3 linked regions of the Nothobranchius furzeri genome follow. The protein of the gene in region 2 binds, or shares a complex with, the protein of the main gene of each other region. Links are inferred from orthologs where the notes say so. Each region holds a gene or a part of one and is shown on either strand. Other genes may lie near its edges. The genes, in order: unc119a1, gnat1 and pde6gb.

Region 1 (3,476 bases), on a different chromosome or scaffold from region 2:
GTGTGTTCATCTTTTTACTGTAACACCTTAACCAAACAGCTGAAATGTCTCCTCAACTTTCATTAGTTTCTACAGGAATGATTCAAATGATATTATGATGACACTGCATGTATGTACAGGATGATTGCTAAATGAAACAAATCAGCTGTGTTCATGATGTAAAACATGCAGGAAACAGACTGCAGTGTCAGGTATGTCAGCTCTGAAGTTGCAAATGCGGCATTCTGTGTATTCTGGCCAGAGGGGGGGGGGGGGGGGCATTTCAGCACATACTGGTTCAAGAAAATGATTGAAAAACATAAAAAAGTTGAATAGTATCCCTTTAATTAAACGCCCTATAAAGGGTGATGGCAGCTTTAAATGATTCAAAAGTTGTCTCTCATTTACGAATTTGATCAAACAAACCATTTTCTGTGATTTGACATTGACTGGGCAAACAGTGTAGTACAACTGTTGTTACAGGAGATGGCAGCAAAGACACTATGTGAAGTTTTCTTTGTTGCCTAGGAGGAGGAAATGTTAAATTGCCTTTTTTTTTTTAATAAAAAACGTTATAAAGGACAGCAACATCCCAATGGCTGTCGTTTCTAATCCCTTATTTATGTGTAAAAAAATTAAATGTCCGCAAAAAAAATCCCAATTTTTATTGCATTAGTGAAATTTATCACAAAAGTTTACATGTTTTAATATTTTGATCATTAAAACATTTCTCAGAATCGTAGGTTACACAGTGTTGAGTTGGACAGAAACCTTAAACAGTCGCCTGATCTTTGGCTAACATTTATTTCTGACGCTTCAAAAAGGCTATTTGTTCAAAAACACCCCTGATGAACATGGAAACATGAAAACAAACAATGCACCCACGGACACTATGTTCACATTCTTCGGATGTCAGACGAGATCGCTCAGAAATGTGCACTTCTAAGTAAAAATGTAATCAGATTTCTATCCAAACTATAAAATCTAAAACACGTCTGAATTCAGACTTCAAATGAAATAAAACAATGATGACCAAATGGAGCTGACGTATAAACCAACAGTTTGTTCAGACACTGCATGTATTGGCTGCCCACACGCTCACTAGTGCAAACTGGTGATAAAACTGGCAGAAGTGACTGTTCCTGCAGCAGGAGACGGGATAAACTACTGCCAGTCACGACGTGTCCATCAGTCCATGTGTTTCTGGTCCTGAAGTCGTAGGAAAATGTCTTGGATCTAACTGGAGTGGTGTTCCTACGGCCCTCCAGAGTAGGAATAATCGGCTTTGTTGTGCATCACCAGCTTGTTGTCCACAAAGTAGAAGCTGTCGGATTGCGTCTCGTAGGGGTGTTGTATCATCTCACGCACTGAGAAAAGAGAACACACTGAATCCTGTGCTTGTGTGTGCTGAGACATTTCTTATCTTTATACTCACTGATTTCCTCAGACAGGGTGGGGAACTCATAAATGTGCTCGCATGTGTTCTTGCTGCTGGGCATGCAGAAGCCAAACTCAAAGTCAAAACTCTTTAGCAACTTGTCTCGGAAGTAGTGTCTCTCTATCATGCGGAAGTTGTTGATGGGGGCGTCTCCGACTGTGAACTCCACCCTGCAATAGCGCACAGCGATGATAATAAATGTTTTAAAGGGGAACTAGGCACTTTTGGCATGTTTTTAGCCCCCCTAGTGTCCGTTTGTAGAACTGAAAGCAAAACCTCGTTGTGCGTTTGTCTTTTTAACACATTAATCTGACAGCTGAAACATCTCCTCAGCCTTCATTAGTGTCTACAGGAGTGAGTCATCACTAAATTAAACAAATCAGCTGTGTTCATGATCTACAACATACAGGAAATGCACTGAAATCAGATTGCAGTGCCAGGTTTGTCAGCTCTATCTTTTCTAAGTCCCAGCAGAGAGGCCGCCAGTCTGAAGTTGCAAGTGGAATATTCTGGCCACAGGGGGACGATAGGGGCTGGGTAGCATTTCATTAACCAAAGGGTCATTTTAGCACATACTGGTTCAAGAAAATGATTTAAAAATATGAAAAAGTTGCCCCTTTAAACAACAACAAAAACAACAACAACAAAAAATAATTGAACGGCTTGAAGTTCAGAGATCTTGAAATTAAAATCAGAGTGGATTTTTGAAATTCCTTTTTTTCACTATTTTCTATCTTTTTTGTTATTGCTTGTAAAGATAAAGCAAATGTTGTTCAGAGATCTAGTCAATATGTGGAATTACTGAAAAAAAAATACAGTTTTTAGTGATAAATTATAAATGACCCGCACTTGTATAGCACCTTTCAAAGTCAGAGGACTCCAAAGCGCTTTACACTAAAGTGTATCATTCTTCCATTCACACACACATTCACACCCTGGTGGTAATGATCCACACTGTATCTACAGTTGCCCTGGGGCACACTGTCATTTACTTGCAAATAAGCATTGTTCAAACTTCTCACAATATTTTGGCATCTTTTTCCCCCGTAGACGACACCTTATAGCTAGTGTTACACAAAGTGGGTGGAGCTCCACTCTTCACCCATCTAAAAAATAACCCTAACCCATCACAACACATTATCATGGTGATGCATTAAATTAAGAGTCAAGGTTTGTTGCACGCTGCAGACTTGACTGTGAGGTTCGAGTCAGCTTTGAATCAAATTAGTTGTGAATCATGAAAATTTAACATAAAAGTTTCATTCAAGCACTTGTGTGTGGCAGATTAAGGCTAGTGCCTGTTTAGATGTTTATAGTGGTTATTGATGTATTTTAGCTGTTATCACTATAAATGAACAGCAGAAACTGCAGCAGCAGTGACAGGAACAGTTGGGTTAAGTTTACACCATGCTCTCTGCTCTCCTCTGTTTGCTTAACACACACACACATACACACACACACACACATACACACACACACACACACACACACACACACACACACACACACACACACACACACACACACACACACACACACACACACACACACACACACACACACACACACACTTTTGACTTACGTGGCTCCAACCTGTCGAAGCTGCAGGAACGCTGGTGTGAACTGGTATCGGACAAAACGCCCGGTGTTTGGGTCACATTGCTTTAGGCATCCTGCAGGAGGAATTCATAATAAGCTCTTTTTCCATCTATAAGAAACAAGTTCATTGTATATGCCTTTGAAATACAGGCTTTCAAATATTTTCCACACAAATATTTTGCAGCTTTAGTCTCCGCAAACAACGCATGTCTCTCTGTGGTTTGGAGCTGACCTGCTGTTGGAGGCTTGGTGATCTCAAACAGGACCGTCCCCGTTTCCATGTCACGGATTTTAAATCTGGTGAAGTCGATCATGTGAACATTTTCTTCTGGAGAGCAAAGGTAATCTAAAAAAATTAAAAACACACACACAACCTTATGCGATCAGAAGCAAAAAGCATATTTTCCTGATTTCACAGGAAACTAGCAATCATTTCATCTACACTCTGTTACGGAAAGTT
Region 2 (4,125 bases):
AAGCGGATGAAAATGGATGGATGGATTTAATTGTTTGTTTGAAAGTTTGTTTCTTTAGAAGCAGCACAGCGACCAACATCCCGGCATTTGTTGCGGTCAATCACGCAATGCTTTCTGTCCCATTTCAGTAATTATTTGCTCACATGTGCAGTACGAGCTCGAAGCCTTACTGCATACTCCCTCCAAGTGCACTTCACAGAAGACCGTAGAGCATGGTGCAAGTATTGTGATTGAGCCACACACTCCACTCTCTCTCCTCGCTGCAAAAAAATGTTTTAAAGCCTTCTTGTGGGCGGGCGTGAGCCAAGATGGGCGAAGCAATGAATGCAAATTCACAGTATGAAATAGATAAGTGAGGATAAAATCTTAGCCTTTCACCATCTATTTTCTATCAGAAGCTATCACAGGAGATAGGTGTAGGAGTCTGTTTTCACATTCATCCTGCATAAAAAGCTCAGAGTGACCAATTATACTCAGGAATAATTGGTGTGTGTGTGTGTGGGGGGGGGGGACCACACATTTAAGCGTTGCTGCTTTCATTGTGTCAAACATTGCAAGACACACACACACACACACACACACACACACACACACACACACACACACACACACACACACACACACAGTTATTACATCCATGCATCACTGAAGAGAGTAGATTAGGATTCTTTCCCTCCTTCAGATTTAGGTCAATGAGATCTGTTTAGTGAAACCACTAAGCCCTTTAAGTACCTCAGAACTCACCATTTAATCTGAAGTATCCAATAAGAAATGTCTTATTTTGTGTTTGCATGTATACTTTTCTATGTGTGGCATTTTTGTTGCAAGTTTTATTGTGTATTTTGCTGTAGTACGAGGCTGTTTTTGTGTTAAATGTGTTGGTTCTTCACCATATTGCACAAATAATCATTGTCATATTGATTTTCACTTTCAGCTGAGTCCTAACATGGAATTAATTAGTTTTGGTCAACTATTTAGCTTCTTCCCTTTTCAAGACATCTAAGAAGAGCATGAGATAAGCACTTGAGCCGATGCTCATCTTCCGCTGAGCACAGCAAAGTACCCTAAAGGCTAGAGCACAACTATGGTCCTCCGCTCCTCATCACACCTCTGCCCTATAACGTCCCTGTCCTTGTGCTCCATTGGCTACCACCGGTCAGGTGGGTCGAAGGTTCCCAAAATCCGCTCCTAAGTCGGAAAAATACTCAAACCTCAGGCAGCTGTAGGCAGTTCAGGCATCAGCTGTGCGGTTGAAGGCACCAGCCGGGACCTTCTTCCATTTTTCCTTGACACTTGGCTTTTAAACAGAAGGGACCTAAGCCGGGAAAGGTAGGATGGGGGCCGGAGCTAGCGCTGAGGAGAAACGCTCCAGGGAGCTGGAGAAGAAGCTGAAGGAAGATGCTGACAAGGATGCAAGAACTGTCAAGCTGCTGCTGCTAGGTAAAGACACCCAGCTTCAGATGCTTCAGCAGGTCCTGGTTCATTTATATGGAATCATGATGCTTGCATTTCAAATATTCTGCTGTTAGGCATTAGAAGGTTTGCAAGAAAATTACAAACATTTAAATAAACATTTGTAACAAGCATAAATACTGTTGGCTTATGTTTAATTGTTGCAATGGATACGTCTCATTATTTTTACACAACTTGTTTGAGTCAAGCGAAGGCTTAATAACCTGTCACTGAACTGCTGAGACACTTGGATTATCACTCAAGCCAATCCTCTATTAATCCTGACACAACAGGTCCAACAGCACAAAGGGCTTAGCAGAGAAGGACACAGATATCAAGAAAATCCAAACAGAACCAACATAATTAAAAAGAGAAAGTACTCGCGTGATTCAAAACTTGATATACAATTGAGCCTAGGTTAGTTTTTAATTATATTTTACAAGTTATACAGACAAACATGGGTTTGTACCTGAAACAGTATCTCAGAATTTATAACTCTTGCCGAATGCACAATTGTTGACCTGGTTATAAACAGACATGCCAGGTTATTCCATATATTTTTTGTGCACAGATCCACCATCATCTAATAATGTAGGTCAAGAAAAAGATTAGACATGAAATAAGAAGTATTATGACTTGTTAGGATCATCTGTCTGATGAAATATGTCATCTAAGATAAACCCAGGTCCTCTTCTGGAAACAATGTAACCAATAAAATTACTAAACAGATGTAAGGGTTCTGGAAAATTATGGAAAATCTCAATAAAACTGGCTTTAACAAACATCTACTGATGTTGGTGTTCTCTCGTGTAGGTGCTGGAGAATCAGGCAAAAGCACAATCGTCAAACAGATGAAGTAAGTTGGACTTTAGGCCCTGGTAGCTTTTATTTCTAAATGTAATCTGTGCCGTAACGCCGCATTTTCTCTGCAGAATTATTCACAAAGATGGTTACTCGCTTGAAGAGTGCTTGGAGTTTATTACCATCATTTACAGCAACACCCTGCAGTCCATCATGGCTATTGTAAAGGCCATGACCACACTCAACATTAACTACGGCCACCCCGATCAGCAGGTCGCCACAAACGTCCATATAAATGTTCCCAGTTTGTTGGCAAACAAACAGAACTATGGGTTAAATGTATTTTCTTTGACTCTGTCATGCAGGATGATGCCAGGAAACTCATGCATCTTGCAGACACGATCGAGGAAGGAACCATGCCCAAAGAGCTGTCGGACATTATCCTGCGTTTGTGGAAGGATTCTGGTATCCAGGCATGCTTTGACAGGGCTTCAGAGTACCAGCTCAACGACTCAGCTGGATAGTAAGAACTCTGAATTGTGGAGGTTTCAAGTTTTGTTTTTGCATTACTCAACTGAAACTCTTTTCCTCACAGCTACCTAAACGATTTGGAGCGACTGATCCAGCCAGGCTACGTGCCCACTGAGCAGGATGTGTTGCGATCAAGAGTCAAGACCACCGGTATCATCGAGACCCAGTTCTCCTTTAAAGATCTCAACTTCAGGTGTGTTTCTGCATCACTTAGGATTAGCTGAGCTACAGAGTGAAGACTTCAGATCAAATGTCTTGGTTTTTCTCATGCAGAATGTTTGATGTGGGTGGCCAGAGGTCAGAGAGGAAGAAGTGGATCCATTGTTTTGAAGGTGTCACTTGTATCATTTTCATTGCTGCTTTGAGCGCTTACGACATGGTGCTGGTGGAGGACGATGAAGTGGTATGGACAGTTACCTATTTTTAACTATTTCATGCCAAGTATCAGATGGTTATAAAGATCTTCGTCGAACTTTACTTCCAGAATCGAATGCACGAGAGTCTCCACTTGTTCAACAGTATTTGCAACCACCGCTACTTTGCCACCACCTCCATTGTACTCTTCCTCAACAAGAAAGACGTGTTTGTGGAGAAAATCAAGAAAGCTCATCTCAGCATGTGCTTCCCTGAGTATGATGGTGAGATCTTATTTTTTTAATTATGGCATTTTTTAAACAAAAATTGCAAATTACTTCATTTGACATGGTCTCACATAGGACCCAACACCTATGAGGACGCCGGTAACTACATCAAAATACAATTCCTGGACCTAAACCTGCGTCGAGATGTCAAAGAAATCTACTCCCACATGACCTGTGCCACGGACACGGAAAACGTCAAGTTTGTGTTTGATGCCGTAACCGACATCATCATCAAAGAAAACCTGAAGGACTGCGGTCTCTTCTAAAAGTTGGGCAGAGGAACTAAACAAGGGTGAGCAAAGAGAAAGTGAGCAAAGATACAGAAAAAAATAAAGCCGCTTAAAGCTGTGGTCCGTAGCGTGATGTCATCAAGGAAAGAAGCAGATTTTGAGGTTTGATTGGCTATAGCTCCCACCCCTGCCCCCCTTAACATTCTGGAAGGTAACGCTGTACTAGCCAACAGTAAAGGCAGCACAATTATCTCCATTTTTATTTATTACAGTTATCTAAAGATAAATGAACAGCTTAGTATTTACCAGTCCATTAGAAACTCGACCAACTCCATCAGTTTTGAGCTCTTGTTGACCTCAAATTTTAGTCCATCTATTAAAAGCATCTTCAATGTAAATTATGCTCAACTGTTGTAAACGTCTCACGGAGTTTCCTCCGAAGAGCTCATAAATGTTAAAATTTTCTTTGA
Region 3 (4,135 bases), on a different chromosome or scaffold from region 2:
TTTAGGATTTGAAACGTTCGGCATCGACGGAACGAGCCTCTGCGATGGTGAAAGAGGCGCCGAGGCACGTGGCGTGGGAGCCCACCCTCCCCACGGGTTTGCAGCTTTAACGCAAAGTGAGGCTGCCTCGCTTGCATGTTTCTTGTTTAGGTCCATGAAGAGGATAGAAAAGAGAAAATGTGAGCAAGAAGAGTTCGGGTGTACAGAGGAGCAGAGCTACAGAGTGATGCCAGAGTGAGACACAAAGCAGGTGTTTGCAGTCTGAAGATTCCAGTGAGAGAGAACAGAAAATTATTTTTTCATAGTTGTTCCTGTTTTTGTTTTTTTTTGTTTTTTTTGTTTGTTACAGTTTGTTGTGATTTCCTGTTTAGAATAGATCCACATGCAGATTCATGACAGCCGCAGGCAGGTGGTTTGAAGTGCACAGCCTGGAATCCTCAGAGAAATCCTGGAAGATGTGGGACGGCTCAGATGATGCCGTACTGGGCCAGCTCGTGCAGCTCCAGGTGGTTAAAGGCCTCCCAGGGGCAGATGACCGTGATGTCTGAAGAGAGGGACAGAAATGTGAAGCTGTTCAGGTTCCTGAGTGTTCCTAAAGGACATTTTAAACAGACGTAAACTCACCTGTGCCCAAGCCCTCCATGCCGGGAATGTCATCACCAAAGCTGCCAACAAAACAAAGATTACTAACTTAAACCTCGGTTTACTTTGAACAACTCTGAAGGAAGCAGTGGTTCATTAGAGGCTTACCCCTGCACGCCTTTCTTTGGAGGTTTGCTCTTGAACTGGCGGGTCTGCCTCTGTTTGAACTTTGGTGGACCCTTACGCGGAGTGGCAGGGCCACCCGTGACTCGGGTGGCTGGGCCACCAGAGACTCGGGTGGCTGACTTGGTCTCAGGTTTGGGCGGCTCTAGATTCATTTTAACAGGAGTGAAGCGTGTGTAGGTTGTCTGGTTTAGAAACTCCTGCAGTTTGGAAACAAAAAATATAAGAAGGAGCAACTTTTTCCCACATGCAGACCACAAATCTTATCTGATGTGATGCATGTCTAACATATAGCTCCTGTCACCTCTGTGTGACATTATCTCCGGTAATCTTCTTGCACAGCTGAGAAGCACATGACAGGATCACAGCTTCCCTGTGACTGATCGTCTGACGTGGACCAAAATGCAGCCCGTTCAGCAAAGATGACCCAATTTCCCATAATCCCTAGCTCTTGTTAATAAGCTCTCTCGCCCTCTCTGTTTCAAGCTGGTCTCTCTCATGTAATCTTATTAAAACAAGGACAACATGGCAGAAATGCTGAGCTGCACATTGAGGGTCTAAAGAACAATCAGCTCAGCCCGTCCCAGAGACACCCGTGGACTGGTTTAACCCTTTATGTTGTCGTTTATGTTGACGACAAACAAAACAAGGTAAATCATCTGCCTCACTGAGGCTGTGCAAATAGCATCTCAGTAATGCATATTTCAGTATCATTTCAAATAAAAAGTTCAGTCAAAGTTATGTGCATTCATCATAAAATAACATAAAATCATCAGAATCTAGATTATGTGAGAAAATTAACTTGCGCGTGAACCAATTAAAAGAATAATGTTTATGATTAAAAAACATTCTACTGTTTCCATGTTTCTAAAAATATTTTTTTAAATTAAACCTGGCAAATCTTTGAAAGACTAGAAAAAAGTAAATATTTTGGTAGTTTTTATTTTTGCAGTAAACTCAGATTTACTAAAATGGAAATAAAATGATGTGAGTGAAATCACCGAGTAAACCATGCAGCAGATCTGAATGATAAATTGATAATGTTGTGTTATTTTATATATTTTTTGGCACAACATAGAGTGGAAAGGTTTTTCTTTTCAAAACATTTTAGGAAAAAAGATGAAAAAAAAAGAATGATTTAAAATGTGTCTAATAAATATAAATGTCTTCATCTATGTTCAGGAGATTTTTTAAAATTCTGCATCAAAGACTTTAACCCTTTGATGCATAATAGTCACTACAGTGGACAGGTACTCAAAATTGTTATTTATTTGTTTTTGCTATTAAGCACAGCTGTTGAAGACTTTATTGCATTTGAACCCCTCCATTTGGGCTTCAGTAAGCCAAGCCAACATATTTCATGTTCAGAATGCACGCTGTCCACTGAGGTGGATATGTAATAAATTATTTGTAAATTATAAAATTTAACAACAAATATTTGATGAAATTTGTTTTGTTCACACCTAAAGATGAATGAAAAAAAAAAGTTAAAAAAATCATGGTTGAAGATTTCATAATTCATGCATCAAAGGGTTAAATATTAATAGTTTATTTATTGAACATCAGTGAAATGTCCAGATCGTGTAATTGATTGTAGCACAAACTAGTTCAATTTCCACCTCAGCTGCTTTGAGAGGTTTCTCCAGGGTAACAATAAATAAATGTAATCCCTGTGGATTATCTAAGGTTTGTAAACCTTTCTGATGATGATGTTACTCACCTGTTGGCTGACGAAGAGCAGCCTGGTAGCTGGTTGTGAGCTGCTGGGATGAGCAGATGAGTGGACGGCTATGCTGGGGCTCACTGTAAGGGCCAGCCAGGACTTAAGACCATTTTATACTCAGTCCACAGGGGGATTATGATGCTCCACCTCTTGTTTCTCATGTCACAATGTTTGGGCCAAACTGTCTAAATATAACTCACATTTATTTAAATACAGTTTAGATTTTTTTTGTGTTCCATCCATCCATTTCAGCCGCCTATCCGGAGTTGGGTCGCGGGGACAGCAGCCTAGCCAACAAGCCCAGACTTCCCTCTCTCCAGCTACTTGGGCCAGCTCCTCTGGGGAATCCCAAGGCATTCCCTGGCCAGTTGAGAGACATAGTCCCTCCAGTGTGTCCTGGATCTTCTCTTGGGTCTCTTCCTAGTTGGACGTGCCTGGAAAACCTCACCAGGGAGGCATCCTGACAAGATGCCCGAGCCACCTCAACTGGCACCACTCAATGTGGAGGAGCAGCGGGTCCCACCCGGATGACCAAGTTTCTCACCCTATTTCTAAGGGAGAGCCAGACACCCTACGGAGAAAACTCATTTTGGCCGCTTGTATCCATGATCTCGTTCTTTCAGTGACTACCCAAAGCTCGTGACCTTAGGTGAGGGTAGGAACATAGATCGACCGGTAAATCGAGAGCTTTGCCTACTGACTCAGCTCTAAATTCACCACAACAGATACGTACAAGGCCCGTATCACTGCAGACACAGCGCAAATTCGCCTGTCCCTGTTCCATCTGTCCCCCACTCGTGAACAAGACCCTGAGATACTTAAACTCCTCCACTTGAAACCAGGGGCGACGTTAGGCCCGGCTACTTGGGCTGAAGCCCCGGATGTTCTATGAAAAGCCCTGGATCTAAATCGCGGAAGTAACATGCAGTACCAAAGTCCAACAGAGAGGGAGCAGCTGGCAGTAGTTTGTATACAGCCTGCCTGAGCCTCCACCACTGAAGAAGAACTGCCCTTCAGCAGCCGACTTCTTCTACACTCTCTGCCTGAAACGAATGAGTGAAGATGGACATGAGGATGTTTTTTAGACAAAAAGTACAACGACAGAACCCCAGCTTTGATGATACTGGTGTTGACTCAGGTTTGTGAGTATTATTTGAAAATATTTGTTGTGCTGCTGGTTTGCCTAAAGTTAGTTTACTATCAGGTAAAGTTGTTGGAGAAAGAACAGGAATATTTACTATCATGATCATCTCACACTAAACACTAACAGGAACAATACTCTGCCCTGAAAATGCTTAATATGTAGCTTCAGATTAAAAATTATGTGGTACAAGACAAATATATATGATGTTGACTAGTGTGTGTCACGTGTGTGTGCGTGTGTTAAGCCCCGGATCTTCTTCAGTCCTAAAACCACTCCTGCTTGAAACAGGACCCCATCCCTGACCTGGAGAAGGCATTCTACCCTTTCATGATTCAAGACCATGGACTCAGATTTAGAGAATCTGATTCTCATCCCAGTTGCTTCACACTCAGCTGCAAACTGCTCCAGCGAAAGCTGGAGATCACATTCTGATAAACCCAACAACACCACTTAATCTGCAAAAAGTAGAGACCTGATTCTCAGGCCACCAAAACGGATCCCTT

What was found.
Region 1: the proteins of gnat1 (region 2) and unc119a1 are in contact, whole or in part, in a crystal structure (PDB 3RBQ), measured with the Homo sapiens proteins. The link is inferred for Nothobranchius furzeri from reciprocal best matches to the Homo sapiens genes GNAT1 and UNC119. Residues at the interface, in NP_000163.2 of Homo sapiens: Gly2, Ala3, Gly4, Ala5, Ser6, Ala7, Glu8; in NP_005139.1 of Homo sapiens: Asp87, Phe88, Val89, Arg90, Phe91, Ile105, Lys106, Lys107, Gly126, Arg127, Phe128, Val129, Tyr131, Phe137, Val147, Glu163, Leu172, Ser218, Tyr220, Asn230.
Region 3: the proteins of gnat1 (region 2) and pde6gb are in contact, whole or in part, in a cryo-EM structure (PDB 7JSN), measured with the Bos taurus proteins. The link is inferred for Nothobranchius furzeri from reciprocal best matches to the Homo sapiens genes GNAT1 and PDE6G. Residues at the interface, in NP_851365.1 of Bos taurus: Ser140, Arg201, Arg204, Lys205, Trp207, Ile208, Phe211, Asp227, Val229, Glu235, Val236, Asn237, His240, Glu241, His244, Leu245, Ser248, Ile249, Ile281, Phe283, Glu305, Leu306, Met308; in NP_776846.1 of Bos taurus: Arg36, Gln37, Phe38, Lys39, Ser40, Lys41, Pro42, Pro43, Lys45, Leu60, Val66, Ile67, Cys68, Pro69, Trp70, Glu71, Phe73, Asn74, His75, Leu76, Glu77, Leu78.

What each region holds. Positions count from the first base shown.
Region 1 is NC_091753.1:37,619,652-37,623,127, reverse strand, and holds the end of unc119a1 (protein unc-119 homolog A), read right to left. Parts: intron 3,363-3,476; coding exon 3,249-3,362; intron 3,091-3,248; coding exon 3,000-3,090; intron 1,588-2,999; coding exon 1,415-1,587; intron 1,347-1,414; coding exon 1,234-1,346; 3' UTR 630-1,233; downstream 1-629. UniProt on the Homo sapiens protein: Involved in synaptic functions in photoreceptor cells, the signal transduction in immune cells as a Src family kinase activator, endosome recycling, the uptake of bacteria and endocytosis, protein trafficking in sensory neurons and as lipid-binding chaperone with specificity for a diverse subset of myristoylated proteins.
Region 2 is NC_091743.1:65,300,193-65,304,317, reverse strand, and holds the start of gnat1 (guanine nucleotide-binding protein G(t) subunit alpha-1), read left to right. Parts: upstream 1-1,183; 5' UTR 1,184-1,334; coding exon 1,335-1,440; intron 1,441-2,265; coding exon 2,266-2,308; intron 2,309-2,384; coding exon 2,385-2,526; intron 2,527-2,618; coding exon 2,619-2,776; intron 2,777-2,848; coding exon 2,849-2,977; intron 2,978-3,057; coding exon 3,058-3,187; intron 3,188-3,268; coding exon 3,269-3,422; intron 3,423-3,500; coding exon 3,501-3,691; 3' UTR 3,692-4,125. UniProt on the Homo sapiens protein: Functions as a signal transducer for the rod photoreceptor RHO. Required for normal RHO-mediated light perception by the retina.
Region 3 is NC_091756.1:53,507,191-53,511,325, forward strand, and holds pde6gb (phosphodiesterase 6G, cGMP-specific, rod, gamma, paralog b), read right to left. Parts: upstream 2,905-4,135; 5' UTR 2,486-2,904; intron 966-2,485; 5' UTR 921-965; coding exon 751-920; intron 666-750; coding exon 625-665; intron 545-624; coding exon 468-544; 3' UTR 292-467; downstream 1-291.